Cricetulus griseus: one gene and its partners. The protein of the gene in region 2 binds, or shares a complex with, the protein of the main gene of each other region. Links are inferred from orthologs where the notes say so. Each region holds a gene or a part of one and is shown on either strand. Other genes may lie near its edges. The genes, in order: Timp1, Mmp10 and Timp2.

Region 1 (10,727 bases), on a different chromosome or scaffold from region 2:
CATTGTCCTTTGCTTACACACTGCTTTACACTCCACGTCACCTTTCACTGAGGACAATGCTTTACAGTTTACATTGTTGTTCCCATGCACCCACTCTTCCCTCTGTGTTCCACCAGTCCCTGGGTGCTCTCACCTCAATAATGTGGTCCCTTCCGTCTTTGCCATGCAGTGCTTCCACTGCGCAGATGTCAAGCCCCCCAAAAATCTCCGAGCATGTATCTACCCACAGCTTGTACCTGCCGAGACAAGGGACAGGGCAGCTTGTCATTGCCATGCCCAGGTGATTCCATTATACCCCCTCCCACTCCTCAGTTATGTCTCTCACCTATCAGACATGGCAATCTGCTCAAGCATGGCAGAGCCTGTGTTGGTCTTCCAGTTCCCTGACACTGATGTCCTCCTAGGGAGGGAAGGGGAAGAGGCTTAGTGGAGCCTGAGATGCATGGGGCAGGGCCCTCAGAAGGCCCCTGTCTCTCCACTTACATATAGGCCTTGTAGTTCTGCCCAATCTTCTGGACACGCACATCGTATTTGGCATCAATGAAGGGCTCAGCAGTGGCGTATGTTTTAGTCAGTGCCACAACGCTGGCGATGTCCTGGAAGTCATGTTGGTTGTCTACCTTGACCTGTGGGCACACATGTGAGATTAAGGCAGTATGAGGAATGGATGTATCTGGAGGGATGTGTAGACAAATATGAAGTGGATATGCCAAGGCACTGAAGCATGCATAATTATGGGTATCCTGTTTCATACATGTGCACACAAACATAAAATTGCTTTATGTAATTGAATATGCTTAAAAAAAACATTTCTTTTTTGCAGTGCTGGGGACCAAACACAGGGCCTTGCACATGCTAAACAAGGACTGTACCCCTGTGCTACATCCTCAACCCAAATTATCTACTTTAAACAGGGGAGTTAAATGGAGTGTAGAATTATTTCTCAATAAAGCTGTAAAAAGAACTGTACATAGGCCATACATAGACATAAAACCTCAGTTGTACACGGAATATACAAACACAGAAGCTGAGACACACTAACTTACAAATTACAAATCTGCTTGCTACATACACACAGACAAAATCAGCTGGATGGAAAGCATACTGGACCCCAAGAGCCTGGAACATAAAAGATGATATGTATTCATCACAGAGCCATGCTTATATATTCATAGCCATATGCTTGGTACACTAGCACAGTAATGGGACATACAAAATTGGCTGATTGCATGAGAGAAATGTGGGCTGAAAAAGAAAATACAAAATCCAGTTATATGAAGGCATCACAGAAAGCATCATCAAACAGAATTTTTGTGCATTGAGTACACAGATGCACATGTAACTGTGTACAGTGCCAGAGCATGCACTATACAAACATGCATGTGTGCACCACTGTGACTCACCTTGCCCATCCCAGAATGTGCGTGGCCCATCTTCACAACCACAGGGTATGTTGTGCTGCTGAGCTAGTGAAGATGAAGGCAGAAGAGGCATAGTCAGAGCAGTAGTGCTGACCTCCAAGAGTTGGTGACCCATAGAATGTGAGCTACACTGGTTGCCATTCCCCCCACCCCCAGAAAGAGGTTGGTCAGAGACAGGCGGAACTGCAGTCAATAGTTTCACAGCGACTCTGAGCCCAGATTGCAGAAAACTGCCTGCCAGTCACTTACTCTGCTCTCTAAGTCCTAGACTATCCATATCTGCTTCCCAGCCAGAGGCCTTAGATAAGGGTGAGGGAATTTCCCAGAAAAGAAAGTTTGTTTTTATGATGATTAGCTATTGGAGTGAGTGTGTGTATGAAGGTGTGGTAGTTAGCATGCAGAATGTCTTCAGTCAAGCCTTGCATGTAAGTTTCATCTTTATGTACACACACACACACACACACACACACACACACACACACACACACACACACATCCCTTCAAAAGTGAGATTACCCAGCCAAAGTCAGAGGTGTCCACATCTATTGAGAAGTCCATATGCATTGAGAAAGACCACCACAGGCTTAAATCACATCGGGGGCTTCGAAGAAATCCAGTCAGTCAGCTCACTTGCTCTTAGCATGTGAGCACGCCCGAACAGCATGCTCTTCACACTCCTAAGACCTACAATCGGCACCTTGGAGCACACACATGAGCTCCCTCCCCTTGCTCACACCTACCTAACAGAAAGAGCCACTCATTCAGTATAGAAGCACACACAACGCTAGAAGCACACAATAAATGGACATATGCATCACTCCCCAGCATGTCCACAATGAACAGAAGGATCAAAACAACATGCAGAACGTGTGTGCACGTTTAGGCATTTCCATAACCAAATTCCTATAACTCAGACCTCATTACATTCCTGGGTCCATGAAAAGTATATCTTGATGCAAAATTATTTTTCCATATCTATGACACAAACATACAGAAAATCAAACACACAGACAACACTCCTGGGTGTGGACATAAATGCAGACAATTATGAGTTAGGTAAAGATGTGTTAAGTTTCCCTATAACCTGGGCTGGGTAGAAGGGACCAGATTAGAGGACCCTAGCCCCATCATATCCCGTGTATAAATTCAGAGCCCCTGCCTCCTACTGACAGGGCAGGGAATGCATTCTTAGAGGGGTTCCTGGGCAGTGGCAGTTCCCAAGAAGCACAGGAAGCCCCATAGTCTAAGGGTGACTGATTGACCTTCAGGTCTCTCCCTCCCTCTACAACTTCCTCCTCCCTCATTTCCCAAATGTGTGTCGTCATGAGGATGGGGGGAGGGCTGAGTGGCATGGGTTTGGAAAGGGGGATGGCGGTAAGGGTGTCATCCAGGCAGCAGGCCAAAGAAACAATGCCAAGGTATGTGTTGCGTGTGAGAAGAGAGAGATCTCCCACTCAGGCGTCTACTCATCACACAGAGAAGTATGAGGCATGCACAGTTATATTTGCAACCTTCAACTCTCAGAAGAAACACCCTTAGATATATGCCTGGCTCTCAGGAAGGGAAATTGAGCCCACCAAGGGACACATGCCAGTCACAGAGGCACAGACACACCAGAGAGCTGTGCACATGCAAGCATACCTACTTCTACTTGCTGAGCTTTCTGGATCCTTTTTATAAACCAACTTTGTTTCCTCTGTTCCTGAGCTTGAACACAGTGCTGTGTGTGCATGTAAGTGTGTCTGTCTGTCATATGTACATACAGAGGGCTTGGGATTTCCTGGAGAGCCGTAACCTGCTATCTTGGCCTTCTTCCTAAGGCCGGGTGAGATCCCGGGTAGATACCATCTCTCTGGGCCTCAGTTTCCTGATCTGCACAAAAGGTATAATCAAGACCAAGCACTTAACACTTTCTTGGGGATCATCAGGTATTTGCACATGCCAGTGAATTCCTCACACTTACCCAGTTCCCCAGATAGAGACAAGCCAAACACCTTGACATCCACCCCACTGCATTTCAAACCTGCACAACAATCAAAATCCTCACATGTAACCAGTTGGCAAAAGTGGGCTGACTCAGGTTTTATAAAGAGCTGGTGTCAGAAGCAGGGTCATAGAGGAGAGACTGGACTTTCCCTCTCTTTACTTCTCCTCAGTCCCGCCACCTACTTACTCAGCCCTGTCTCATCTACTCTCACTCCTCACTTTCACAATCAGACAGTTGAGAATTTTGGTTTCCTTTCCTTTGTTCCTTTCTTTGTATCCCTACCTCCCCACCACAGTGATTTCTTCACTATCATTCCTGGACAGGCCATTTGACCCCTTTCTGTCTCTATTTTCTCATTAAATAATGAAAATATGAATTGTAACTCACAGGCATGTTGGGAAGAATAAATCAATTACTTCAGAGGGGAAAAAATCTTAGTATACACATAAAGTAAACCCGAATCTTCAAAGTGCTGGTTACTATTATCGCTGTTATTACTGATTTGACAACTCTTCATTAATTGACATTAAGGGAGAATGAGGACAATAGCAAATGAAGGAACAAAAAATCCAGTGCTTGCTGCCTGACAACCTGAGTGTGAGTTCGTAGGGAAGGAGAGGACTGGCTCCTGCAGGTGGAGAGCAATACAAGCATGAGTACAGCTACACACACACACACACACACACACACACACACACACACACACTGAATAAATATAAGAAATCTTTTGTATATGGTGAGGGTTCTGTTGAGTGCTGGCAGTAGGTTTTTGTATGCTGTGGTTATTGAGCTAATCTAAATTAACAAAATTTAATTAGCTAAAATGACTGTACACAAAGATCTTAGCAATAGTACACAGTAAGTGCTCAACCAAGTAGCTGCTGTCATCACTATCATTATCATTTTGTGTGTGTGTGTGTGTGTGTGTGTGTGTGTGTGTGTGTGTGTGTGTGTGTGTGTGTGTGACAAGGTCTCACTATGTATGTTCCAGGCTGTCCTGGAACTCACTATGTAGACCAGGCTATCCTCAAACTCTCCGGATCCACTTGCCTGCTGGGATTACAGCCATTGTCATTACTATTGGTCTACCCTGCCTGGATTAATTGAGGGTGTTAATCATCCCATAGAACCTTCCACACGACCCCAGAGAATATCCCTGCATCATCAGGAAGCGGGTGGGCAGTAGTTGCCTCATCCCACCCCACCAGGGATGTGGGCTGGTTGGTGGGAAAGGAGCTGGGCAGGATGGGGTGGGGATGGGTTTTCTACTGACTCACTAGCTTCTTTCACCATCATCCACACCCTCACTCCCCCCATTCTCACCACACTATTCCCTGGTTGCCAAGATTGGGCTCCGCCTGAGTGAGGATCTCAGTGTCAAGAAGCCCAGGTTTAAATCCCAGTTTTGTTCTGTGACCCTGGCAAAGTTCTTCACTTCAGCTATTTGCCTGCTTGATTTTGTTTCTGCTTAAGACAGGGTCTCTCGTAGCACAGACTATCTTCAAACATCCTAAGTTCTAGGCTCACTCATGTGTACAACCACAGCAAACTTTTGGGGATAGGTTACCACCTAAGCTCTATCTGCAGGCCACCTCAGTTCCTCTCCCAGTTCTGACACACTTAACTGCCATCTTCAAAAAATAACAGACACTCTCGGTGAATCAATTTCCTCACTATGTATTTGTGTCTCTTCTCCCATCTCATGGCCCTCAACTCTTTTTCTAGTTTGTCTTCCCCTCTGCCACCCCTCAACAAAAACGCCAGGTCCACTAGGAAAGCCGGCCTTGCAACAAAGTAGATGTACTAAGGCGCAGGAATGAAGCCATTGGCTTCAGCCATAGGAAGTTTGGGGAATGTAGGGAACTGGATAAGCACAGGGCTGTGGGGGCTTGGGCTGCCTTTCCATTTCCCCTTCAAGGCCGCCAGGGAGGAATGCGAGTGACGTGGAGCTGGGGGGAAGGGGCACAGTGGGCTGGCTGGCAGTGGAGGGAGTATCTTTAGGCCGGTCCTCCGGCCCGCCCCTAGGCTTCGATTCCTGCGGTGGGTGGATGAGTAATGCGTCCAGGAAGCCTGGAGGCTGTGATTTCCGCGCCAACTCCGCCCCTTGCATGGACATTTATTCTTCACCGCTCAGTCCCTGCCGCCATCGCCGCAGATCGGGCTTCTAGAGAGACACCAGAGGTAAGTGGGAGCCGGGTGTCCTGGCTGGAGCCTGTGTTGGTGCGACCACCAGGCACATCCGGTTCCCTGCCAGACTAGCTGCTTGACTGGGCTTGCAGGTATCAAGACCTCTATTTGGCCAAGGGGGAATACGAAGGGAAGGTTTTTGGAATGAGTATCCCAAGCTAGACTCTCCGGACTCCCTCATGCCCCTAGCATTCATCCCCAAGTGCTCCAAACCCACAAGCCTCTAATGCCTTAAAGACCTCCCAACTTGCCAACTCCTCTGAATTTTTCATTGTTCCCCCAAACCCCTATAGCTCCCTTAACTCCCCCTGCCCTCAAACTTTGCCATGTCCAGCTCCTGGAACTTCAAAAGTTCTTCTGCCTTCAAATTCCTCAACACTCCCATTACCTTAAACTCCCAAATTCCCCCAGACCCCATAACCCCTAAATTTCCCCCAGTTTCCTAAAATCCCAAACCTCCTCTAAAACCCTTAGTAGCCACAAATCCCCATGCCCATTATATCTTAATCTCCCTCAGCTCCCAGCCTCCCCTTATACTTCTCCAGTTTCCCAAACCCCAAATTCTTGACTCCACAAATGTCAGTCTCCAGACTTCTCCAACTCCACTAAATTCTCAAACTTCTCAGCTCCTGGACTCATCAACTGCCACAACTCCATTATCTTCCTATTCACTGTCTCCTAAATCACTGGAACTCAATAAAACCCAAAACTTTCCCAACTGTTTAAGCCCCTAAACCTCTCCAGGTTTCTCACCCCTTAAGATTCTCAGGGTTCCCTAATCTCCCTAGGGCCAATGGGTAAACAGATCAGTTGGGCTGGGGATCAACTACTACCTTGTCTCTCCCAGCAGATACCACTATGGCCCCCTTTGCATCTCTGGCCTCAGGCATCCTCTTGTTGCTATCACTGATAACCTCCAGCAAGGCCTGTAGCTGTGCCCCACCCCACCCACAGACAGCCTTCTGCAACTCCGACCTGGGTGAGTCTAGCCCCCTTTCTGTGCCTCTTAGTCCAATAGGGCTCATGATGGCAGTTATCTCTACAACAGTTGTACTTACCCTTGCATAGATCCACTTTGGCCATATTGACATCCTTAGGCCTAAGCCCACCTTTGTGTTGGCTGTTCCCTCCCAGGTAGATATTTCTCTGTAGTTATTCACATGGGTGGCTACCTCAAGAGTCATCTTACTGGGGTGCCTGTCTACTTTGTTTAAATTTTAATCCCTGCCATATAGTACATCTGATTCCCTGTTAAATAAAACTGTGAATTACACTTCTTAGGGCACAGAAAGGCAGACTTTATTCAGGACCATGGCAATCAGATTTTTCAGTCAGGGAGAGAGATTGGGCTTAACTCTCAACATAGCATAGGCAAATGGAACTCTACAGCCAAGGAACAGTTTAGGGATTGGTGACTGGGAAATCACTGAGAAGAAATATCACAGGCAAGGAGTAAAAAGATTCAGGCTAAGCCCATTTTTTAAAAAAAGATTTATTTTTGCTGGGCGTCGGTGGCACACGCCTTTGATCCCAGCACTCAGGAGGCAGAGGCAGGCTGATCTCTGTGAGTTCGAGGTCAGCCTGGTCTCCAGAGTGAGTGCCAGGATAGGCTCCAAAGCTACACAGAGAAACCCTGTCTCGAAAAAAAAAAACAAAAAGGTTTATTTTTATTTATGTCTATGTGTGTGTGCACCATGTGTGGTGTGCAGGTGCCTGTGGAATCCAGAAGGCATCAGATCCCCTGGAGCTGGAGTTACAAGTGGTTGTGAGCCATGCTATGTGGATGCTGGGAATCAAACTTGGGTTCTCTAGAAGAGCAGCAAGTGTTCTGAACCATTAAGACATCTCTCGAGCCCATGAGCTCACTTTTTTGAGAGTAGGTCTCACTATGTAGCCCAGGCTGGCTTTGAACCCTTCATCCTCCTCACTCAGCCTTCCAAGTGCCGAGATTACAGGCCTGTGCCACCATACCCAGTTCAGGACTCTTGCTGAGAACTGGCCAGTGTAATCACCTGATGGTCAGTGGAAAATATGGAGCCCCTTCACATATCGAGGAGAGTCAGATGAGGGTGGGTTTTTCACTAAACTGATTTAGTATACTTTGGTACAAGTGGATTTTTCTTTTTCTTTTTCTTTTCTTTTCTTTTCTTTTTTTTTTTTTTTTGGTTTTTCGAGACAGGGCTTATCTGTGTAACATCCCTGGCAGTCCTGGAACTCCTATCTGTAGACCAGGCTTGCCTCAAATTCACAGAGATCTGCTTGCCTCTGCCTCCCGATTGCTGGTATTAAAGGTGTGAACCACCACCACCTGGCATCTACAACTGCATTTTTAAGAGAAACTGCACTTATAAGCTTGGAAGAAGGTTAATGAGCCTGAGTAAATTGTGGTCAAGCAAAGAATATGTGTCAATCTCCTCCCTTTTCTAATTCTCCATCATACTTAACAGCCTTTAACAATCCATATACCTTTTTCTCCATACTGGGGATTGAACCTAGGACTTTTCATATGCTAAGCAAATTGAGGTACAAACCCAACCCTTTTGTGAATTTCATTTTAAAACAGGGTCTCACTAAATTGTCTAGACTGGTCTTGAACTCACACTGTAGTGGTCCTCCTTCATCACCTTGACAGAGCTGGGGTTACAGGTTTGTGCCACCATGCCTGGCTACTTAATTTTAGTTATATCCTCCTGGCTTGAATGTGAGATCCACAAGGAAATGGATTCCTGTGTTTGGGTCACTGTTGTGTCCCTAACACCCTGAACAGTGGCTGCATATATCAGGCACTCCAAAATATTTGTTGAGAAAGCCAACAGATGGATATATGAAAAGTGCTTAAAACAGTACCTGGAAGAGTAGACAATGTATAGATGAATCAATCAACAGACATGGAAACATGGAAACCATTAAGTGTGCTGTCTCTATTAGAATTATGCTTGTATATATGTTTTGCTGTTATGGGTTCATGCTGCTCACTTAACTCCTTATTTTCCCCTTCCTTTCTAGTCATAAGGGCTAAATTCATGGGGCCCCCAGAAATCATTTTCAACTTATACCAACGTTATGAGATCAAGATGACTAAGGTATTCCTTCCTTCCTCCCTCCCTCCCTTCCTCCCTCCTTCTCTCCCTCTCTCCCTCCCTCCTCTTTCCCTGTCTCCCTCCATAGCCATATTAACCTCTTCCTCCTCCTCAAAATACTAGCATCTAGCCTTTGGTTGGTGTGGACGTTTCCCATAATTTTGTGATTTAGATATATGACATCAGGTTAAGAGGTAATGGAGTGGGAGGATTAAATCAGTAAAAGATAGACTTTTTGTCACTCATGGGCAGATGCTCAAAGGATTCGACGCTGTGGGAAATGCCGCAGATTTCCGGTTCGCCTACACCCCAGCCCTTGAGAGCCTCTGCGGATATGTCCACAAGTCCCAGAACCGCAGCGAGGAGTTTCTCATCGCGGGTGAGGCCCGCCCCTTCGCTTTGGGCCACACCCCTTCATCCTCAGATGCTTCCTGGCAACTGGGAGGAGCGAGGCTCTAAAGGGAAAGGACCTGGTTGAAATGGGGGCGGGAAGGTTTGTAAACTAATGCTAATCAGGTAACCCCAGCACCACCCGGCCAATCAAAAGCCTGTTGGTTTCTCCATTCCCTTACAGGACGCCTAAGGAATGGAAGTTTGCACATCAGTGCCTGCAGCTTCTTGGTTCCCTGGTATAGCCTGACCCCTGCTCAGCAAAAAGCCTTCTCAAAGACGTATAGTGCTGGCTGTGGGGTGTGCACAGTAAGTTCCTAGAACCAGCTCTCTTTCTGGAGATAATACCTGGAACGGTTTCTTTTTCCCTCTGGCTATTCTTTGTTATTGTAGCTGCTTCCCAAACCCAACCACTGCCTTTAATTTCTCTTGTTGTCCCAAACCTGCTCTTTTGGAGATACTGGTTGTTCTATTATCTTGGGACTGCATGTTCCCTGAACCTTCTCTGCCTCTCTAACTTTTCTTTTGTGTCTACTCTGAAATACTGCTGTCTGTTTCTGATCTCCCAAGATTGGGTTTGGCTTCCCAGGCATGTTCTGCAAGAATTCAACGTGTGATTTTCCAAATCCACAGGGATATGTCGACCTGGCTATTTCAAAACTGTTCCCTGACAGCAATAAATATCCTCTGACCTCAGTCACTGTCTGAGAGCCCCGTTGCCTATTCTTATGCTTAACCTCTCTGCATGCCAACTGTTACCCTCTACTCAGTTCTCTGCCCTGTGAGGCCTGCCTGAGTGACTTCAAGAGATAGTTTCCTACCCACCATTCCAGAACACTGGCTTTCTGTTCCCCAAATGGGAGAAGCTGTTCTCGGGTCTAAACACAGGTGGGGCAATGTCAAGCCTTCCCAGCTGCTCTGTGTTGCCAGAAGGAGAGTGGAACACTCTCCATAGGGGAGGGAACAGGGGAAGAAGAAGCCCCCAGAGTGGACCTTTCTCTCATCTTCCAGGTGTTTCCCTGTTCAACCATGCCTTGCAAACTGGAGAGTGATACTCATTGCTTGTGGACAGATCAGATCCTCACGGGCTCTGAGAAGGGCTACCAGAGCCGTAACTTTGCCTGCTTGCCTCGGAATCCACAGTTGTGTGCCTGGCAATCCCTGAGGGCCTAGATGACCCAAAGCCTACCCCCAGTGGAAGCTGAAGCCTGCACACTGCTCCCCTCCCCTCCATCTTTCTTTCTTTTAGACAGTGAAATAAAGAACTACCACACAGCAGTGCCGTTTCAGTGTAGTGTCTGGGAACAAACTCAAGACAATGATAACCTGGTGGGAGCATCCAGGGTCCAATGAAAAATGAATCCATTTGAAATGTTGAGTTTGGAGGCTGGAAATGTAACTTAGTGGTAGAGCAGCTGTTTTTCATGTACAAAGCCTCAGGGTCAATCTCTAGCAAAAAAGAAAGGAACAAAGGCCAACCTAGTCTACAGAGAGAGAGAGAATTCTAGGACAGCCAGGACTACATACTACCCTGTTTCCAAAATCTGAAACAAGAAAAAAAAAGGAAAAAGTGTTGGGTTTTTATACTTTACAAAAAAATAATATATTGGTAATAATCTAAACATTGGCATTAGTACTGGAACCTGAAAAATCAGTAATGAT
Region 2 (10,615 bases):
TGTGTTCATTTTTCTGTATTAATTCTGTATTTCTCCCTTCATTTATTGTCTGAGTTACAGTAGCCAGCTCTAGTCTTTTCTTCTAGTTACCTCTTGGTCTACATGAGTTACAGTCGCCAGCTCTAGTTGTTTCTTTGAGTGGCTTCTTGGTCTACACTTCTAGGCTAAGGTTCCCCCTAGGTAGGTCAGGCTTTTAAAATGCTTATTTACAATCACCAATTCTGATCTGCTCATCTTCCCATAAAACATTTAAAATTCAACAAATGGAGAAACTCGTACTTCAAAGGTTTTACAGTAAGATTTCAGCAAAATAAAAAATTGGCACAGTTCTTACCTTTAAAAATGAAAACGCTATCTCTGCTATGAGCTTCATAGGCAGCATCTAAGTGTGAAGGAAGAGAGGGCCAAAATGCCGAAATCAAATTGACTTCAGGCTCAGGATTCCAGCGGGATATGCGCCAAAAGTACCTGTAATATATGAAAACGGCTACAGTCTTTCTCCTTAAAATAGTAAACACAGAAGGACACAGTCTTCTTTCTCATCAATGGTGATTCGCCTGTCCACAGCAGCACACAAATTGTCCCACATGTGATTCCAGGTGTTGGAGACAGCCAGGGTGACAGGGATGTAGTCAGCACCCTAGAGAACCCTGTTCCAGCTTGATCCCATTCATAAGTATGTAAAATAGTATATATTGTATGAATCTGTTAATATTTTTAAAATGTTGTATACCCTTTTAGATGTGAGCACGTTGGTAAGGTGGTACAAAGAAAATTGGTAGCAGTAGATACACACAGGCAGGGATATGGGACAGCAGAAATGGAAGGGCTTTTTCTTCTGTCTTTTGGTGCTATTCAAGTATTGTGCACGTGTATGTATCACCTTTTCTAAAAGGAGTTCATTGAAATAACAGCACTTTCTAGCAAGAGTAAAGATACTTGTCTGGTCCTAAGGATGGCTGGCACTTTCAGAAGTTCCATAACTTATGATATATAAAGACTGAAAGATAAAAATAAGAGATGAAGTTCCCTGATTTTATGCATCTTTTAGTCTACTGACCAAAAATCATCTTCTGGGAGCCTAGAAAGAAATATGCTGGATAATTCCAATGGGATCTTTAAAAATGCAATATATACCAGAGATGTTAAAACATGTCAGAAATATTTTATAATCATATTACATTTACTATATAAATACATTATATATAACCCCAAGTTTATTTTCCTTTCTGAGCATTGAATCAAAAAAGTAGCTCGGGAAATAGAATGTTGCATTCTAACCTGTCTTTAAAGAACAGCAGTTCCCCTCGCAGGGTGCTGACTGCATCAAAGGACAAAGCAGGATCACACTTGGCTGGGGTCTCAGGTCTTGGAGAGACAGAGGACATGGGTACCACTGTGGCATCAGAGGACGGATGTGGTCCTGAAGGGAACAGGTTAGGGGAAGCAAATGTTAGAAGATCAGGTATGCATCTAACAATTTACACACTGTCCAAACTTCTTCACCTCTGAGTGGACACGGAGAGCACAGTAGGAGCCATCTTGTCCTCAGGTACACCCCAAGCATTGCCTTCTGGCCATTTCATCCTCTGGCTTTCAGACCCAAAGCTTCCTCCCTAATAGTCCATCCATACTCCATAGCTCTTTGTAAATGCCTGAGTGCCCCAGCCTTAGAAGGGCTTCTTTTTTCTTCTTTTTTTTAAAATTTAAATTAGAAACAATCTTATTTTTACATATCAATCCCAGTTCCCTCTCCCTCCCATCCTCCCCCATCTCTCCACCCCTCCCACCCACTCCTCAGGGAGCTTGAGGCCTTCCATGGGGCGATTATCAAAGTCTGTCACATCATTTGGGGCAGGGTCTAGATTCCCCCTCCCCTGGGAATCTAGGCTGAGAGAGTATCCCTCCATGGGGAGAATGGGCTTCTAAAGTCCATTCCTACTCTAGGGCTAAATGCTGGTTCCACCACCAGAGGTCCCATAGAATGCGCAGTCCTCCTGTCACCCATGTTCAGGGGGCCTGGTTCAGTCCTATGCTGTCAGACTGGGGTCCTTGAGCTCCCATATTCTCAGGTCAGCAATTTCTGTAGGTTTCCTCTAAGGACTTCTATTCAAGTCTCGGGATCTCCTGACAACCTGCATGTCATCTGGAGTCACCGTCACTCAAGGCTCCTAACAGGGTTTTACAGACATCAGGGAAGCAGACTATCATCCCGTTCAGACAATTCCATCTTCTTGCCTGCAAGTTACTCTTCTCTCCTTACAGAGACATAAATTTGAGCAGGGCACACTGACATATGTCCTTGTGGGCTCCCATTACTTCCAATTTACCGCATTTGAGATAAACTCAGTCTGTGGCCTTGCTCAGCAGTCATCCACTTTTTAAAGACTTGTATTGCCAGTTTCTCTCCTGATCATTTTTTGTGCTCACCCTCATTTTGTGGAGTTTTGGGCTTGGGAACTTCTTAAAGCACCAAGCCTATGTTAGTTTCTGACTCTATCAATTTTATATTTCTCCTGGGTCATACGGGCTGAGGTAAAGATGAACTTAGGATCAACCATTCACATCTTACTGCTTGCTATTAATGACATGTGCAGCATTCTAAAAGAACACCGACAAGAGCAAGCAGGCAAATAAAGAAGACTCTCAGCCAGATTTCCTCATGCTCACCATAGAGGGACTGAATGCCATCTATATCATCTTGAGAAAGCTGGAACTGTGCCGGGCTGGTGGACAACCTGTAGACGGGGTACATCAGAGCTTCTTTTTTGTCTGAGTGAAAGAGTCCCAGGGAGTGGCCAAGCTCATGAGCTGCAACCAGGAATAAGTTGGTCCCTGTTTGAGAAAGCACAAACCTTAAAGTCTAACAGTTACTATTGCACAGACACGCACACACTATTCCTGCCAACCGCACAGGGCACCCTTGGGATCACACACTGCCTTCTCCTCATTTATCAGCTCACTGCAATCACTGCACACTCCATCACGTGTCTTTCATGGTTAACTTGAAGTCAGTGTCTAAGACAGTTTTTCACTAGTTGCTCTCTAGAAGTCTCCTTAGTCAGAATATTAGTTCACTATTCCTGTATCAATGGTGGCAAGTCCTGTTTCCAAAAGAGATTTCTTTGGCAGGACCAAGATGAATCTCATGCCAACAAAAATAAATCTTTATTGTCTAGAAATCAGAAACCATTGTTAAGATTTAGTAACAAAATAGTTTTAACCATACTTTAAATCAAACACAAGCTCTTTATATAGTCTTCAACCTCTTAAGTAACAAAACTATGGGGAATTTCATCACCGTCATCAACTTTTGATTGTTATAAAAATGTTTACAAGAGAGGTTAATGGGAATAAATATATTCACAGTGCATGATATATATTTATGAAACCATAAAAAACTACATTTTGGAGAAAATCCACTTCCTAGCAACGGGTGCTGCATGAAGGGCATAGGTCCCAGTATAAACAGAAGCATGTCCTCTGCCTGTTTCTGTGGTGAACACAGCTGGACTCAGTTGCCTCGCATTATGAAAAGCTCTGTTGGTGCTGGTCATTGAAGCAGAGGTTCAGGCAGTTACAGGGAAGAAATATTGATCATGTCCCGTGGCATTGCTGCAGATCTGCACAATTAATAAAGACTGCTTCATATTAACAGTAACCCCACACTTAGAAACCCAGAAATTGTGATTGTTTCAACAGTCTGTGTCCAAACTTCAAATGCTGTTTACAAATTTTAAGTAGAGTGCAGTTAATGGTAGCCAAAACGTTTGGGGAGGAGAAAGGCTTCCAAGCTAGCAAAGGTGGCATTTTTATTTAAACAGAGCATCTTCCTTTAGTTTCTGGCATTTTCTCCAAATCATTGCGTTTAAAAAGAAAAGAGGCAAATGAGAATTCAAAGTCAAGGGCAACTTTTGGGGTCTTAACCTACTCAATAGCACTCATTCAACACTACTCTTTTATTATTGGGGTGGTAAACAGTAGTAACTTACAACACACTTAACCCTGTACAAGATCCTGAGTTGTCAAAATGACAGTAAATGGCACCCACTGTTTTGTACTTGGGGGGTGCAAAGAAAGAAGCAGTTTACACAGTTTGTTAGTAATTAGATGAATAGGGCTTCAGGTTGCCACACAGATAATCAGAGATTGAAGGTAACAGAACATTCTGTTTGAGTCTTGCTCTAGACAAGTTATTCTTGGAAAACTCATATCTAAACTCATCCTACCTGATGGTCCAAGTGTCCATTTCTCATCATCATCGAAGTGAACATCTCCATAAAATCCAGGCCCAGGTGGGTAGGCATGAGCCAGACTCTGTCCTGGTCCATCAAAAGGGTAAAAGTCTCCATGTTCTGATGGGAAACAAATTTATGGAGATATAAATATAAGACAGCACAGGAACTGTGTGGTCTGAACACTGGTGTCCCTCAAAGTCTTCATGTTGAAATGTAATCTCTAATGTGACAGGATCACAAGGCAGCTCCTGTAGAAGATGCTCAGGGTATGATGCTCTCTGATGGGTGGTGCCTAGGTGAATGAAGCTGAGGGAGTCTCTTGGCCACTTCTGCTACATGGGGAAACAAACTGAGTCTGCAGCCCCTTTATTGTGTGTTTCTAATTTTTTGGAACTCCAAGCAATACCTTTCTGTTGTTTACAGATTTCCCAGTGTGAGGCATTTTGTTTTAGTAGCCTAAACAACTCGAACAGCAGATGAGTGACTGTACAACTGCATTACCTCCAGCTGCGAAGGAGATCATTATGTCAGCCTCTCCTTCAGAGCGCCTGGAGAATGTGAGTGGGGTCACCTCTTCCCAGACTTTCAGTGCTTTCTCAATAGCAGAGTCCACACTCTCTTTCGGTAAATCTGGTGTATAATTCACAATCCTGCATGAGAGAAGAGGAAGAAGGCAGTGTGTGCTGCTCGATGACTCTGACACAGTGTTAACACATGTGAAAACTTCAGACCCGTTACCTACCTGTAGGTGAGGTTTGTTTCCCTCCACTTTGGTGAACCTGGAAAGGTGGTGAAGCCACCGACATCGGGGACGCCACACCTGGGCTTGAGCATCACATCCATAGTGCTGGAGTCCAGCCTCCCTGTCACCTCCAGCCCGAGGAACTTCTGCATTTCTTGGATTTTTTTGACAATGGGACTACTGTCCTTTCTTCTAAATACTTGTTTCTCATTTTTTTCAAAGTTGTAGTACTTTTCTAGATATTGCTAGTTGGGTGACAAGTACAGTTTTAAAGCTGTGACTGTGGATTTTAAACCATTTATACAAACCTCAAAATCCATTTTAATTATTCCCAGTCTATTGAAACACAAGTAGGTGTCATACCTAATTTGATTTTTTTTTCACTAAAATGCCCCATTTTATTATTTCATTGCAATTTAATATGCTACCAAGGCAAGGAGACCAGCATAGGTGTGTAAGTGCATTACATGAATGCATCTAAGTTTTCCCATTTCCATTATTAACATAGAGCTGTTAATACTGAATGGTGTTAGATAAATTCATTTTTTCACACATGAAAAATTAGAGTATGCATAATTTCTTGAAGTAGTAGAAGATAAATAATTCTGAAGCAAGAGAGACTTCAACCTCCCTATTGTCTCTTCTCAACTTGTGCCATGGCCATTGGTATCCACCTGCCCTTGCCTCTATTTCCCTCTCTGTAAGGATGGAGATTCCATCTCTCACTCTCTCATATTTTCCAACACAACTTCTAATCAAGTCGTCTACTCCTGTTGGAAGACCAACGAGCTACAGTTGTCCTTCCACTGGAAGCTGATCCCTCACTTGCTGCTTACCTGAGCAAGATCCATGCTTGGGTGGTCTTGCCTCACTGCTCCATGCAGAGGATATGCTGAAGAGACTGGCAGGCACAGAAGCACCAGGATGGCCAGTGGCTCCATCCAGACAGCCTTTACTTTAAAATGCACTCCTTCTCTAGCTCCCGACTTCTATACCTTCGTTTTAGTGGCCACTCTTTTATAGGGAGTCAGTGTTTAGGTCACTAATGACATGACTCACGTGTGTGTTATTTTTAATCTGAATGACTGCATGCTCATTCACAAACACTCAGCATGAAGATGGAATAGATTACATCAGAGAATCCCTCAACCTACTAAACTTGAAAGAATGTCTAATCTCAAGGAAGTGGTTTCTGTGTTTGTAAAGAGGAAAAGGAACTGACTGGAGAATTAATGTTTTTAGAATATTTAGATATTTTGAAAACAATGGTTTTTGTTTGGTTGGTTGTTTTTTCTCTTTTAAAAACATGCATGAGGCTCAAATACATGCAGACAAGGAGTAAATACATTAATAATGAAAGACCCCAGGAAAACTCAGGCCTCTAGGATCTCAGCCCAGGACTAAGGTCACCCCAATCACCAGGCAGATTCAAAAGCTTGATGCAAACTGCACGAGGCTTTATTGTTGTTTAACGAGCTAACCCCATGTTAGCTCGGGGTCTTTCATCCATCCATCATGGTGGATGGCTACAAAAGACATCTCAAACCGGCTGCATAGAGATCTGTAGGGCAGCCTAAGGGGAGTGTCTAGGGGTACGCACAGGCTCAGGATTGGTGTGCCTCCAGGCTTGGAGGGCTTGCCCTGTGTTGATTGGCCAACTGGTTGTTATGGCCCATAGGCCCTCCCAGGGTTGTTGCTATGCTCTGCGTGTCATTGCTGTGCACTTGTCCATAAAGCACACCCAGAGCCGTAAAGCATGGCGCCACCAGCTAACTTCTGATTGGTTCCTTGCCACGAGGTAGGCATCTGACTTTCTAGTGACTAGGACAAGGTCAGACAAGCATGTGTTCAGCTGTTATGGCTGCCAAAAAGGGCAGGCATCTGACCTTAGTGACTAAGACAAGGTCAGACAAGCTGTTATGGCTGCCGAAATGGGGAGCTGTTCCCTTCAATGGAAAAATATTCCAAAACTAAGTAGAAAGATGGCTATCTAGGAAGATATAAGGATGGGAATTTTTTGAGTCCTTGAGTATAACAGGTATTATTGATTTTTCAGATGGATTTACTGGCCCTTGGGAGAGGGTGGGTTTACTGTGAGAAGGCAGCCAATATGGAGGAGGCAAGGTCCAGAGGTGAAGCTCAGGCGTCCACCCAGGCTCCATTTCCTGACGATGTCTTCAGTCTCTGTTTCATGATGATGGCCCCATGAAGACTTATCAAATGGAAGTCAGTTAATTGCATATTAGATGAAGATGCTCCTTCCCTGTCTTTGCTTTTCAGTTTTTATCCTTTCCCTTCTTCCGAAGTACAAATGATTGAGGTTTACAATGGTATTTCCAGTCCTTTCTCTTCATGTAACATTACCCATTAAAAATATTTTCATTCCTTCCCTTGGCCAAGTTGAGTGCTCCTCAAACACAGAAACTCTGCAGTAGCTGTTAAACCAAAATTAGCTCTTCAAAGAAATATTTAGCCTGGCATTGGTGGCACACACCTTTAATCCCAGCACTTGGGAGGCAGAGCAGCCAGACCTCTGTGAGTTTGAGGCTAGCCTGGTCTACAGAGTGAGTGCCAGGATAGGCTCCAAAATGTACAGAGAAACCCTGTCTCAAAAAGCCAAAAAAAATAAAAGAAAATATATTTTTATTAACGTATATGTGTAAATGTTTCTCTGTGTATATATCACATTTGTTCAGGTGCCCTCAGAGGCTGGAAGCGGGAGTCAGATCCCTTGGAATGGAGTTACAGGTGGTTGTGAGCTGCCCTGTGGGTGCCAGGGACTTGAGCAAGTCCTCTGGAGGAGTAGCCAGTGCTCTTAGCTGCAGAGCTGTCTCTCCAGACCCACAAGCTTGGTTCTTAGTATAGAGGTCAGAGGGTGCCAAAATGTTTGAAGTACATTTTTCTTCCAGTGAAAGGGAAGTAATCCTACCATGTCTAAAGTATAAAATTCAAATTAGTGGGATAGAAACAAGTAAATACAGGAGCGACTTTTTTAGTACCATCTACCTCCTTACCACAGGGAGGCATGTCAACAGAGACTTCCATAAACCAGGAGACTCTGAGGCCCCAGAGCTGCAGCTTGTGAGAGGGGTGCATGCCCTGGCCCAGCAAAGTCAGCTTGTGACTTAGCATAGGTACTACATAGACAATAAGTGAATCTGAAAATCAGAGGCAAAGATGATGGTTAGCAGACTCCTCGGATAAAGTCAGCTAGACTTGAGCAAGTACACAATATAACACATGATCACTTTTCCTATGATGTGGAAACCATCACTAAAGGTGTTAGTTTTTATGTGTACACCATACTGGGAACAAAGCTCCTTTTCATTTTATTCCCGTGTCTTTAACAGACACAGCTTGTTCCTACAGATTCCTAACAGCCCTGAGGTGCTGACTTGACAGGTTCTGAGCTGCCTAGTGTTTATTTGAGTCATATCTTTGTTGGTGTTGGCACACCCTGCCAGTGGTTCCTGTGTGCCCAAGAGCTATGGCTGTGACTGTAGTTGAGTAACCATGAAAGGACGTGCCTCCCAGGAGGGATTTTGTTGGATAAAATTACTCTACTTTAAGCCACCACACCTGGAGGAGATTAATGATTAAGGCTATGGAGTCCTGATTGTTACCTATTAAATTCACTGAATATTTATGCAGTAAAGCAAGCAGGGGCATATTCAGTTCAAGGAAAGTTTCAATTCAACCCTCAGAACAGGGCTCCTATATGTGAGATTTTAAGTATGCACGCTTTCTAATCTGCATAAGAACCCAAGAAGATTGAGACTAGAAACAAAAAACAGGAATGAACTCAAGGTCATCTAGCTAACCACAACTTACATGAAAATAAAGGCTGGTTATGATTGCAATTCCAGCATGGCAGGGGTGGGGTGGGTGGGTGGGAGGTGGGGGTGGTGGTGGTGGTGGTGGTGGTGGTAGGGAATCTCTGAGCTTCACTGGCCAGCCTGCTCAGACAATCCAGTGAGTTCCAGGCCACTGAGAGATGCTGTCTCCAAAAACAAAGAAGAAGAAAAAAATAAGGAAAGAAGGAAAAAAGAAGAAAGGTGGCTGGCATATAAAGAATGAAAACTGAGGTTTCTGTTTGTGGTAGTTTGAAGAGGAGTAACCCCAACAGACTCATGTGTGTAAATGTCCAGCCCAAAGGGGGTGGCACTATTAAGAGGTGTGGACTTGTTGCAGGAGGTATGGCCTTGTTGGAGGAAGTGTGTCACTGTGGACACAGGCTTCGAGGTCTTATAAGCTCAAGTCTGGTCAATGTGAGACAATTTCCTTCTGCTGCCTGCAGATTAAGATGTAGGACTCTCAGCTCCTTCTCCAGCACCATGTCTGCCTGTATGCAGCTGTGTCCCGCCATGATGATGTTAGACCCCTGGAAAACTCAGGTATCCGGGGTAAGGCCACGACCTCGGTCACCCCAATCAGCAGACAGATTTGAGAGCTTGATGCAAACTGCATGAGGTTTTATTGTTGTTTAATGAGCTAACCCCATGTTAGCTTGGGTCTTTCACCCACCCGCCATGGCGGATGGCTAGAAAAGACACCTCGAACCTGCTGCCAAGCGATGTTGTAGGGCAGCTTCACAGGCTTAGGATTGGTGTGCCTTCAGGCTTGGAGGGCTTTCCCTGTGTTGATTTCCCAGGGTGGTTGCTGTGCTCTGCACGTCATTGCTGTGCACTTGTCCGTAAAGCACACCCAGAGCCATAAAGCATAGCACCACCAGCTAACTTCTGATTGGTTCCTTGCCACGAGGCAGGCACCTAACCTCTTAGTGACCAAGGCAAGGTCATAGCGAGCATGTGTTACTGTCATGGCTGCCAAAATGGGGGGCTGGTCCCTTCAATGATAATGGACTAAATCTTGGAAACTGTAAGCAACCCCAATTAAATATTATTCCTTTAGAAGAGTTGCAGTAGTCATGGCATGTCTTCATAGCAATGGAAACCCTAAGACACTGTCTGACTTCCCCAGATGTATGGACATGCACCCACACTCATAAGTGCCTCAGACACCATTATATCCCTTTTCTAATATATACCTTATAGTCTTATGGAAAACTGCCCTCTGGGCCTTGCTAAGGACCAGAGTCTGGTGCAGTGTGCTTAATTTCCATGTAATAAAGCTCCAGTCTCCCTGCACATTCTAGCTGCTAACTCAACACTGAGACAGAAGTTTTGATCTTTATATCATTTACTATGGAACATCACTGTGTGCACGATGTGAGGTGCCAGGTAAACAGCACATGGGAACAGCTCCTGGATTCCTTTTGGAATGCCAAGTCCCAAGTTTTAGGTGCCCATTTCAATAACTCCTTTCTTGTCCAGCCTTGTAGCCCTGCCACGTACATCATAGCCCAGTGTTTGGGACCCACTCTGAGCACTGCACCTCTGTACTTGATGATAATTAATAAGGTCTAGGTGCCATGATGTCTGTGCTTATGAGACACATCCTGCTGTAGATGATCTCCACAAGAGTGTAGAAATTTGAAAATTTTGGATAGACTAATTTTCTCATGAGTATTTTTCATATTGTTTGTTTTCCATTTCAAATTTGAAAGAAATAACATTTATAGGTGAGGCTTTATAAACATGTAGTAACAAAATAGAAATAGAAAGCTTATAAAGCA
Region 3 (10,145 bases), on a different chromosome or scaffold from region 2:
TTGTAGACCACACTGGCCTTAAATTCACTGGGATCCATCTGCCTCTGCCTCCCGAGTGCTGGGATTAAGGGCAGGCCGAGGACTCTGGCTTGTCAGGTGTTGGCCACCAGTCCAAATCCAAACAGGTGTGTTTTCAGGGGTGACACCTGGGCACACACGGACCACTTGCACCTTTTCACTGTACTAGTTTGTTCTCTTTGCATCTTTAGTTGCCCCCCATTGAGCCAATGAGATAGCTCAGTGTGTAAAGGCACTTGCTGCCAAAACTGTCAGTCTGAGTTCAATCCCAGGGACCTCATTGTAGGAGAGTGCTGACTCCCTCAAACTGTCCTGACTTCCACTCATAGGCCATCATATGTGTGCATGTGTATAAAAACAGGAAATCACCTGTCAGATTCAGTGGAAAAGAATATCACATTAAAAATTGATACTAATCTGAGCAGGGGGTGAGTATAAAACTCAGTACTAGAGCCCTGCCATAGCATGTCTAAGGCCTTGATTCCATCCTTAGCACCACCAAATATGTGTATGTATGTGTGTATGCATGTGTATGTGTCTATATGTGTGTATGTATGCATGTATATATGTGTGTGTGTGTATGTGCACGTGTGTGTGCATGTGTGTGTATGTATGTGCATGCGTGTGTGCGCATATGTATGTATGTGAGTGCATGTGTGTGCATGTGTATGTATGTATGTGTGTATATGTATGTATGTGCACGTGTGTGTGCATGTGTGTATGTGTGTGAGTGCATGTGTATGTATGTATGCATGTGTGTATGTATGCATGTATGTATGTATGTGTGTGTGCACATATACACAAAAAGAGAAGCAATTCTTCTACCTGCTATAACATGGACAGACCCTGACAGCATGCTCAGTAAAATAAGCCACCACAAAGGCATATCTACCTTGCTACAGCCATGAGCTCCCTACAATAGACAAGGTCACAGAAAGTGAAAGCAGAAGGTGGGGGATGGGGCCCAGGAAAAGACAAGAAGTGAGATGCTCTTGGCCAGTGGACAGAGATATAGTTTGGGAAGATGGCACAGTCCTGGAATAGATAGTCATAGTTACATGCTATTGTAGCTATATTTAGTGTCACCGAATCCTATGCCCAGGCATAGATATAAAGGCAACCCTATAATATGTGTTTTCTGCAGGTTTTGTTACATTCACTTATGTTGTGTGTGTATAGGTGACTGGGTACATGGATGGGTGTGTACGTGTGGAGGTCAGAGGACAACTTAGTGTTATTTTTTCTTCTTCTATCATACAGATTCTGAGGATCAAACTCAGATTGCCAGGCTTAGTGGCCAGTGCCTTTACCCACTGAGCTATCTAGCTGGCCTAGATACTAGGTTTGTGGGGTTTTGTTTCTCAAAAACAAGGTCTCACTGTGTAGGCTCACAGAAATCCACCTGTCTCTGCCTTCCAAGTGCTAGGATTAAAGACGTGTGCCACCATGCCCAACTACACTAGTGCAGTTTTTAAAACAGCACGCAGTGTATTTAAAAGTGTCTTTTATTGATGTAATTCTCTGGGGCCGGTCAGGGCACTAAAATGTGCCCAAACGTCTGGGGCAGTGTGTGTGTGATGTAGTCTAAGTGACAGGCACATGGTACCTTCAATCTTCATCACACCTGGAGCTACAGTGGAGTCTTCTCGGGCCTAGGAAACTTGCGCTGTGCTATTTGTGTGGCTTTCTCCTTACTTAGAGGAGGAGGAGCGGCCACACATGGGTGTAGAGGGACAGTACAAAACAGATGCTACATGTGGGAGCCCTCCGATGGCCAGTGTGGAAGACAGGCATTCGGCACGACAGAAAGCGCTGTCCACATACACAGTCACTGAAGTAATCTGGTCTCCCATGGGGATTGACTTCCCAGGCTTTGTGTGGACCCAGAGCCTCGCTTGTGCAGAAGACGGGCAGAGCCAGAGAGAATGCCCTAACGTGGCTCCCAAGTATACAAAACAGAGCAGCCCCCAGCTGTGCTCATCACCCTGCTGCCTTGTAGGACTCCACCCTCCCCTTTGCTCAGGCATCCACAGCCTCCTGGTAGCATCAGGGCAAGAAGTCTGGGGCAGGAATTTGAGCCTGGTTGTAGCAGTCACTGTGTGTCAGGGCTCCTGATAGTAAGGCATGGCTTACCTATCTGTAAATCACCTGCCCAGAAAGAAGCCCCTTATTGGTGTGGTAGGCTGGTTTCCATCTCATGGACCAGAAAGCAGTGTCCATGCTTGAGATGACCAAGTGGTCAGCAGGGCTGACTGACAGGTCTGGCCCCAGGGGTTGAAAATAGAGTCCGTGTGCATGGCTACCGAGGCATATCCCTCCCAGGGGGCACTAGCCTGGAGAGACGGCTAATACAGACAGTTTCGGTATAGATGAGCACCTGGGGTGTCTCTGGAAGTAGGTGCTGGCCAGCAGTCCTTGTGCCCGTGCAGCTGGGCTGGCTCGCCCCTAGAGGGCAGTGTGGGAAGCTTGTTCCTCAGGGACCAGATGACAGGACCGCAGAGGAATTCTGCTAGGGTACCATGACCCAGTACTAAGGCTGAGCTCCTACACACCTGCAATTAGATACTCCTTCTTTCCTCCAACGTCCAGCGAGACCCCGCACACTGCTGAGGAGGGGGCTGTGTAGATAAACTCGATGTCTTTGTCAGGGCCTTTGAACATCTGCAAAACACAGGGGGGCAGGAGTAAGCCGCCATGGGGTTCCCAACCAAAGCATGATGGGAACAGGGGTACATGGCTGCACCCAGGTATGCCCCCCCCCCCGTACTCCCCATCCCAAGGTGCATAGAGGGTAAACAGGGGATTCAAAAGCCACCACTGTTTTCGAGATGTGTTCAGAGTCACACATCAGCTTAGGGATATAGGCAGATCTCAGTTGGCAAACACAGCCTGCCAAGGCTTTGTCCAAGGTAATTTCTGAGCACAAGGTCATCATTTCCAAACCTCCGTATAAATTCTAGGAGATTCTCACTTGCCACAGAGGGTCACGTCTCTGTCTTCTTCCCAGGAACCGGGTTCATTTGCTTGCTTGAAAAACAAAACCAACCAACCAACCAAAGTGTATGTGTGTGTGTGGGGGGGGGGGCGGTCTTTAATCCCAGCACTCAGGAAGCAGAGGCAATCAGAACTGTATAAATTCTAGGACAACCAAGGCTACACAGAGAACCCTGTCTCCAAAAACCAAAAAGCTAAAAACAAATAAACAAAAAACCACACACTCACAAAAAGATTGTTTTTAAATTTTTTTCCTTTTCTTTTGATTTTCTCTTTTTCCCTTACCCCCATCCCTATCTTTTGGGTCAAACCTGGAGCCTTGAGCCCAATAATTTACACCCCAGCCCTACTTCCACAATTTTTCTTTTTCTGAAACTAAATTCTCACTTTGTAGCCAGACCTGGATTCGAACTCTCCATTCTCTTTGCCTCAGCCAGGATGCTGGGTTTATAGGGTTTTACTACAGCAGGCTGTTTATTTCCAGGGATCTTGGCGAAGCACTGACTACCTGATGAGAACAAGGGGAGAAGGGCTCCCCCTGGAGCCAGAACATAACCCCAGAGTCACTGGAGGGTTTCATTTATTTCTCAGCATCTGACTCATTTCAGGGGTATGCCTGCTCTTCAGGGGTATGCCTGCTGCCCCTCAGAGGAAGACACCTAGATGTGTGTGGGGGTTTCACCCCGCTCCCCTTTTACTCACACCCTTCCCGACACCCCAGAAGAGGGTTTTCGTTTGCCTCTTCCTTCCTTCCTTCCTTCCTTCCTTCCTTCCTTCCTTCCTTCCTTCCTTCCTTCTTTCCTTCCTTCGAGTTTTAAATATTTATTTTTATTTCTACTTCCATGGTGTGTTTGTGTCTGTGTGTCTGCTACCATGAGGTGCCCTCAGAAGCCAGATTCCCCTCAAGCAGGGCCGGCAGGCAGTTGTGAGCTGCCTGACATGGGTGCTGGGATCCTAATTCTGGAGGAGTAGTCAGTGCTCTTACCCACTGAGCCTTCAGGCTGCAGTCCCTCTCCAGGACAAAACGGCTTTGGGGAGCTCAGTTCTAACGCTGTAGGAAGGAAGGTTGCCAGGGCAACAGAGTCACTTCCTGGTATTAAGCCACGAGGAGGTGATGAGGTTACGCAAGCCCACCTGCTTCTCTGCCTCAGAAGGAGACTTTGGTATTGAGAGTTAGTCGTTCCTGAGGTGACACATGGGATGAGGAAGTGCTCGCTCCTCTGGCCTGTTGATAATATTTATTTTCAATTTTGGTAAATAAGGATGTCTACAACCACTACTGCATGACAAAGCTGTCCCTAACACTGGAGGAGCCAGCTGTCTTTCTTTGAATACCAAGTTAGTAAATGTCAACTACCAGAGCAGGCATGTACCACCCTACCTAGTTTTGTAATTCCAGGGATCAAACTCAGGGCTTCATGTGTGCTCGGTAAGCATGCTACCAACTGAGCCATATCCCCTGCCTCTCCCTTAACATCTCTCTCTCTCTCTCTCTCTCTCTCTCTCTCTCTCTCTCTCTCTCTTCGTGTGTGTGTGTGTGTCTGTCTGTCTGTCTGTCTGTCTGTTTCTCTCTCTCTCTCTCTCTCTGTCTGCCTCTCTCTGAGTATCTCTGTCTCTCTCTGTCTGTCTCTCTCTCTAACACTGGTTCTTCCCATTTGTCTCTGACACACAAAGTACTCTGAATATACTAGCAGACACCACCACAGCCACGACTGGGGCCATCTGCAGTTCCCCGACCACAGCCCTGTCCGCTCAATGGGCTACCTTCTCAGTAAATGGCCCACCACAGTCAGGAAGCTGCCCTCAAGTACAACTGACTGCCAGACTCTTCCTCTTATGACATGCTACCCCCAGGTTTATCACCTGGTAAAATCAAGCTAGTCTGTTTCTGGAATTAGGGTGACATGGTGGTTTGAATGAGAACGGGCCCATGGGGTCAAATATGCAAATGCTTGGTCCCCTAGTAGGTAGAACTGTGTGGGAAGGATTAGGAGGTATGGCTTTATTGAAGGAGGTCTGTCACTGAGGGTGGGCTTTGAGGTTTCAAAAGCTCATGCCAGGCCCAATGTCCCTCACTCCACCTGCTGCCTTAGGGTCAGGTTGCAAAGCTCTCAGCTACTGCTCCAGAACCATCCACGTCTGCCTGCCTCCCACCATGATGACCACGGACTCATCTTCTGAAACTGTAAGCAGGCCCCTGTTTAATATGCTTTCTTTACAAGACTTGCTTTGGTTCCTGTGCCAAGCATAGGACAGTGACTGAGGCAGCTGAAAACCTCACATTTCTGCCAGCCTTTCATGTTCTTGTGGCTTAAGGAGAACTGGGCTTCTTTGTGGCTTGACAGCTCAGCTTTCTGGCTTACGGTGGCTGGGAGGCGTTCCAGGACCCCATCCCTGCTTCCCCCACCAAACCAGGGGCTACCTTTATCTGCTTGATCTCATATTGGATCCTCTTGATGGGGTTGCCGTAGATGTCGTTCCCGGAATCCACCTCCTTCTCGCTTACTGCTTTGGCCCTGATCACTGCAAAATACAGAGACACAGATGAGGAGAGTCCCGGAGGACCAGGATTCAGGCTCTGCCCAGGGGAGGAAGGTGTCCCTCCCTACTGGAGGTACAAAGGGAGGTGGGTCTATTGCCCAAACACTGTAACCTGAGGGGGTCAGAGGAGTTGGGTTGGCACAGGAAGGAGAGGAGACTCTGTAGCTTGTTGTCCTGGGTTGGTTAGCAAGAGTTCTTTGCTGTGGCTGGGATGTGATTCAATTGGCCGAGTGCTTGACTAGTATGCACAAAGACCTGTGTTCAGTCTCTAGCACCAAGTAAAAGTGGGCGCAGTGACACACACTTTTAACCCCAGTCCTTAGGACATGGAGTCAGGAGGGTCAGAACTTCAAGGACAGCCTGGGCTAATAAAACCCTGCCTTACCAGGTGGTGTGTATATGTGTGGTGGGGGACACGCCTTTAAGCCCAACACTCAGGTAGATCTCTGAGTTAGAAGCCAGCCTGTTCTACAGAGTGAGTTTCAGGGCAGTCAGGGCTACACAGAGAAACCTCTTGTCAAAAACAAAAATAAAAAAAAACAAAACAAAACAACAACCACAAACCTGACTCAAAGACAAAATCAAAAACCAAAAAGCTGGCCAGGCATTGGTGGCACAGGCCTTTGATCCCAGAACTTGGGAGGCAGAGGCAGGTGGATCTCTGTGAGTTCGAGACCAGCCTGGTCTTCAAGAGCTAGTTCCAGGACAGCCTCCTAAGCCACAGAGAAACCCTGCCAGGAAAAACAAAACAAAATAAAACAAAATACCAAAAAGCTGGGTGTGATGACTCACACCTTTAACTCCTGCACTTGGAGCAGAGGCAGGTGGATCTCTGCGAGTTCAAGGCCAGCCTGGCCTACATAGTGAATTCCAGGACAGCAAGGGCTACAAAGTGAGACCCTGTCTCAAACAAAACCACCCCAAACAAAACCCAAACCAATGTATCCCAAATGAATCATTTGTTGACTAGGGCCATAGGCGGCTCTGTACAGCGGTAGGCTGTGGCCATGGGTCAGGTTCTTCCTACCTACTGGTGACTAGAGAAACAGTAAACAAATGGCCTAGCATATAGTCCTGCCCCTGCAGGTAGGGCTGGTGGAGAGGTGACTCTGTCATGCCAGCATCTCATCCTCAAACAGACTTTGGAGGCTCAAGAAGATGGGCAGCCATCCACCGCAAAGGAGCCTGGTTATTCAGATTTGGGGTCTCCACAGGGGTGGGGGGGTCCTGGAGCACAGCCCAGAGCAAAGCACCGGCCTAGCATTCAAGAGGTTCAGAGATCCCTCTCTAGAAGTTTCCGTGTGAGATGTCGTATGGGACAAGCGTGTGAAGGTCATGTATCATTTCTCAGGCGCCACCTGCCTTGGTTTTTGGGTGTTTTTTTTTTTTTTCTCCATTTTTATTTGTTGGGGGTGGGCAGGGTTTGCACATTGCCGGATACAGCCAACATGTCAAAGTCAGAGGACGCCTTATGGGAGTCTCTCCACCGAGTGGGTTCCAGGGATGGAACTGAGGTGAACAGGCTGTGGCAAGCAAGCGCCTTTACACACTGAATCCTGTCACTGAATTCCCCACCTTATTTTTTGAGACAGGATGTCTCATTGGCCTGGAGCTCACTGGCTGGCTTGCCAGCAAGCCTCTGCGTTCAACTGTGTCTTCCTTCCCAGTGCTGGGATTATAATCACAGGCCACCAGCCATGGCTTTGTGAGACATTCTTTAAAGTAACATGTATTCTGAGAAGCGTGACAGGCGTGGAGTCGGAATGCATATCATGCAGGCTATGGATCTGGTCAGTAGTGCTGTCAAACCTTAGACACAAATGGTAAGGAAGCAGGACATGCTCGAAGAATATCTAGGACAACAATCAAAAGAAGTGATGGGAAGGGATATACCAGGAAAGTTCCAGAATGTTCTGGAGCCTGGTCGTGCCTAGCATGGGTTTTTCTATCAGTAATTAAGCCCCTGGGCCCTCCCTGGAAACTCTACCACCAAAGCTTAGCAGATCCTCCCACAAGCGGGGCACTCCCTTTCATTACTTGGAGGTCATTAGCTGGGCCAGGGTCTGTTTTAATGGCTTTAAAAGCTTTGTCCTTCAAATGGCAGTGGCATAGGGTCACTCTGGGCACGCGTTCTGTCACTGTGCACATGAGCTAGATGGAGACAGGGGAGCAGACAGTGCCGGCTCATAGTCTCCAGCGGTCAGCTTGAGTCTTGGAAACTTCTGGCCAGGACTGTTTACCACAGAGGCAGGGAGGTCCAGGCACGTGGGAGTGCCATCTGCTGCTCAGACCCCAGCAATGTTCTCTGGATCCCTCCCCACTGAGTCTCACACCACAGCCCAGGCCCCACCCAGCTCGAGGCCCATTTACATTGGTCCTTCTGTGAGGCTGAGTCACTACTGGCCTGGCCACAGGTTCCTGTTTCCCAGCCCAAAGCAGGCTTCACTTCAAACAGCTACAACCTGGTAAAAGCTACCTGGCAGGTCACTCTAGAACAGAGGGCTCGTTTTTGGTTCTATGCCTTCCCCATAAACATTTCTTGCAAAATGCTTTCACTTAGTCGGGCGTTGGTGGCATATGCCTTTAATTCCAGCACTCGGGAGGCAGAGGCAGGCGGATCTCTGTGAGTTCGAGACCAGCCTGGTCTACAAGAGCTAGTTCCAGGACAGCCTCCAAAGCCACAGAGAAACCCTGTCTCAAAAAACAAAAACAAAAATGCTTTCACTTAAAATTCAAGCCAGGAGTGGTGGCACACACCTTTAATCTAACCACCAGGGAGGCAGAAGCAGAAGGAGCTCTGAGTTTGAGACCAGCCTGGTCTGTAGAGCAAGCCAGGGTTATACCTGCAACCCCACTTTTCCCTTGTTCTTTCCTAATCCACCCTGTTTCCCTGTCCCCCACATGCTGGGATATCTAGATATGTGCCATCTCTGAACAGGAAAGCTCTTCTCCCCAAATGTCACCTCCAGGCCCCTGCCTGGAGAACTTCCATTCATCCTGAGAAACCCTTCCTGTTTTCTTCCTGCAGCGACAGGTGTATTGCTCATCTCTAACATACTCTGCTGTAAATGTTTGTTCACCTGTCATCTGAGAGGTCATGACAAGTAGAGGCCATGTTACAGAAGACCCGGGGCTCAGAAAACAACTACCAGATGGAACTGGGCTGACTATGACGGCCTTGGGTTGACAGCATAGGCGTGCTGGCCCTTGGTCCCTCCTGTGTAATCTATACAACCATCAGCATTGCAATGTTTATGCAAATGTGTAAGCATGCCAGGTAAACTTTGGAGGCCAGGTAAACACTGTCATGTGTTTTTCTTTGAATAGCACTGTCACCTGCTCAGAAACAAGAGGGGACAGGGGTTCCAAAGGAATGGTCCATCTCCCTCTACTGGCCTAGAGAACTTGCTAGCCTTGCTTCAAGTAGTGGCCCACTATACTGTACAATGCTTCAATGTGTCTGCTAAGCACTGGGACTACAGCTCAGCTGGAGAAGGACTTATATAGCAAACATGAAGTCCTTAGCTTAAGTCCCAACACATACAACTGGACATGGCCCATGTTTGGAATCTCAGCATTCCCTAAACTATTATGGAGTTTGAGGCTAGCCTGAGCTACTTGAGACCATGTCTCAACACAAAACAACAACAAAAAGTTCAGTAAAAAAACAGCAGCATCGATCTGTTGAAGACTGGAGTTCCTGCTGATCACCAGGGCTTATCTGTAGGTCAGACAGACTCCTTGTGGTCTACATTCAAGGTTGGCCTTAGAAACCCCTGATCCATTGCTCATGGCTGCCGGAGCAAGGATTGGCTGCTGCATGGGTGCACGATTGTCAGACTTCAAGACAGGCATTGATTGGTGTGGACATGCCTCCGGGGCATGGCAAGTGTCTGCAAAATAGCTGCCTGCTTGGCTGCTGGGCCCTGGTAGTGACCAGGCAGAGGGAACAGTAAGGTGCAAGGCGAAGGTGCTTGACTCCTGACAAGAGAATTCCCCAGAAAATGGCCACTTCATGGACAAGCCTGTCCAGTATTCAAAACATAGCCCTGGTACTTGGAATCCCAGCAAGTGCAGCAACTGTCCACATCCTTTACCACCGACACAGGGAAAGCAGAGAAGAACGAATGACATTTCTTGGAGAAGATGATATTGAGCTAATGATGTGAGTTCCCCAGGAGGCTGTGAAGAGGTTCATTGGTTGACAAGGAGCATAAATACAAAGGTCTCCTGGGGAGGGAACTGCTGCCTCTCACCCTCCACTGCTGAGGTTGCTGAAGATAAGATTTCTCAAACAGTCCTTCGGTATTTCTTTATGAACTTTAGTTTAATACAAGTAGAAGAAATGGAGAGTCATCTTAGGAAATGTAAAATTTCTTGTATGTGTCTGTATGACACAAGAAATAAATATAATACAAGAAATAAAAAGAATGTACTTCTGAAAAAAAAAAGTTCAGTAAAATGCACCATCCACTTGGCAATCAGAAAATAAGCCCAGTGACTTCCAAATTCTCTCCCATGGCACTGAGGACCCAATACTACTGTCTTATGGAAGTCCCCGAGTTCCCACACACGCCCAAGTCCCTGATTCG

Evidence for each region.
Region 1: the proteins of Mmp10 (region 2) and Timp1 are in contact, whole or in part, in a crystal structure (PDB 3V96), measured with the Homo sapiens proteins. The link is inferred for Cricetulus griseus from reciprocal best matches to the Homo sapiens genes MMP10 and TIMP1. Residues at the interface, in NP_002416.1 of Homo sapiens: Phe170, Tyr171, Gly177, His178, Ser179, Leu180, Ala181, His182, Ala183, Tyr184, Pro185, Tyr191, Asp205, Ala206, Ser207, Gly208, Val214, His217, Glu218, His221, Phe226, His227, Thr231, Tyr236, Pro237, Leu238, Tyr239, Asn240, Phe242, Thr243; in NP_003245.1 of Homo sapiens: Cys24, Thr25, Cys26, Val27, Pro28, Asn37, Leu57, Tyr58, Pro87, Met89, Glu90, Ser91, Val92, Cys93, Arg98, Thr121, Cys122, Cys155, Leu156, Ser157, Ile158, Gln173, Leu174, Gly177, Ser178, Glu179, Lys180.
Region 3: the proteins of Mmp10 (region 2) and Timp2 are in contact, whole or in part, in a crystal structure (PDB 4ILW), measured with the Homo sapiens proteins. The link is inferred for Cricetulus griseus from reciprocal best matches to the Homo sapiens genes MMP10 and TIMP2. Residues at the interface, in NP_002416.1 of Homo sapiens: Glu155, Asp169, Phe170, Tyr171, Ser172, Pro176, Gly177, His178, Ser179, Leu180, Ala181, His182, Ala183, Tyr184, Pro185, Pro188, Gly189, Leu190, Tyr191, Val214, His217, Glu218, His221, His227, Pro237, Leu238, Tyr239, Phe242; in NP_003246.1 of Homo sapiens: Cys27, Ser28, Cys29, Ser30, Pro31, Val32, Gln36, Ala37, Asn40, Ser57, Gly58, Asn59, Asp60, Tyr62, Asn64, Pro65, Ile66, Lys67, Arg68, Thr91, Ala92, Pro93, Ser94, Ser95, Ala96, Val97, Cys98, His123, Leu126, Cys127.

The regions. Positions count from the first base shown.
Region 1 is NC_048604.1:125,719,020-125,729,746, forward strand, and holds Timp1 (metalloproteinase inhibitor 1), read left to right. Parts: upstream 1-5,433; 5' UTR 5,434-5,589; intron 5,590-6,442; exon of another isoform or gene 6,443-6,445; 5' UTR 6,446-6,453; coding exon 6,454-6,574; intron 6,575-8,601; coding exon 8,602-8,678; intron 8,679-8,927; coding exon 8,928-9,054; intron 9,055-9,249; coding exon 9,250-9,374; intron 9,375-10,076; coding exon 10,077-10,238; 3' UTR 10,239-10,343; downstream 10,344-10,727. Other genes in the region: Syn1 (synapsin-1), read right to left, coding at 134-236, 326-400, 484-626, 1,404-1,466. UniProt on the Homo sapiens protein: Metalloproteinase inhibitor that functions by forming one to one complexes with target metalloproteinases, such as collagenases, and irreversibly inactivates them by binding to their catalytic zinc cofactor.
Region 2 is NC_048597.1:121,934,488-121,945,102, reverse strand, and holds the start of Mmp10 (stromelysin-2), read right to left. Parts: upstream 5,988-10,615; 5' UTR 5,922-5,987; coding exon 5,817-5,921; intron 5,226-5,816; coding exon 4,981-5,225; intron 4,889-4,980; coding exon 4,740-4,888; intron 4,356-4,739; coding exon 4,230-4,355; intron 2,836-4,229; coding exon 2,671-2,835; intron 1,424-2,670; coding exon 1,282-1,423; intron 469-1,281; coding exon 335-468; intron 1-334. UniProt on the Homo sapiens protein: Can degrade fibronectin, gelatins of type I, III, IV, and V; weakly collagens III, IV, and V. Activates procollagenase.
Region 3 is NC_048600.1:130,868,821-130,878,965, forward strand, and holds part of Timp2 (metalloproteinase inhibitor 2), read right to left. Parts: intron 5,536-10,145; coding exon 5,435-5,535; intron 2,680-5,434; coding exon 2,571-2,679; intron 1-2,570. UniProt on the Homo sapiens protein: Complexes with metalloproteinases (such as collagenases) and irreversibly inactivates them by binding to their catalytic zinc cofactor. Known to act on MMP-1, MMP-2, MMP-3, MMP-7, MMP-8, MMP-9, MMP-10, MMP-13, MMP-14, MMP-15, MMP-16 and MMP-19.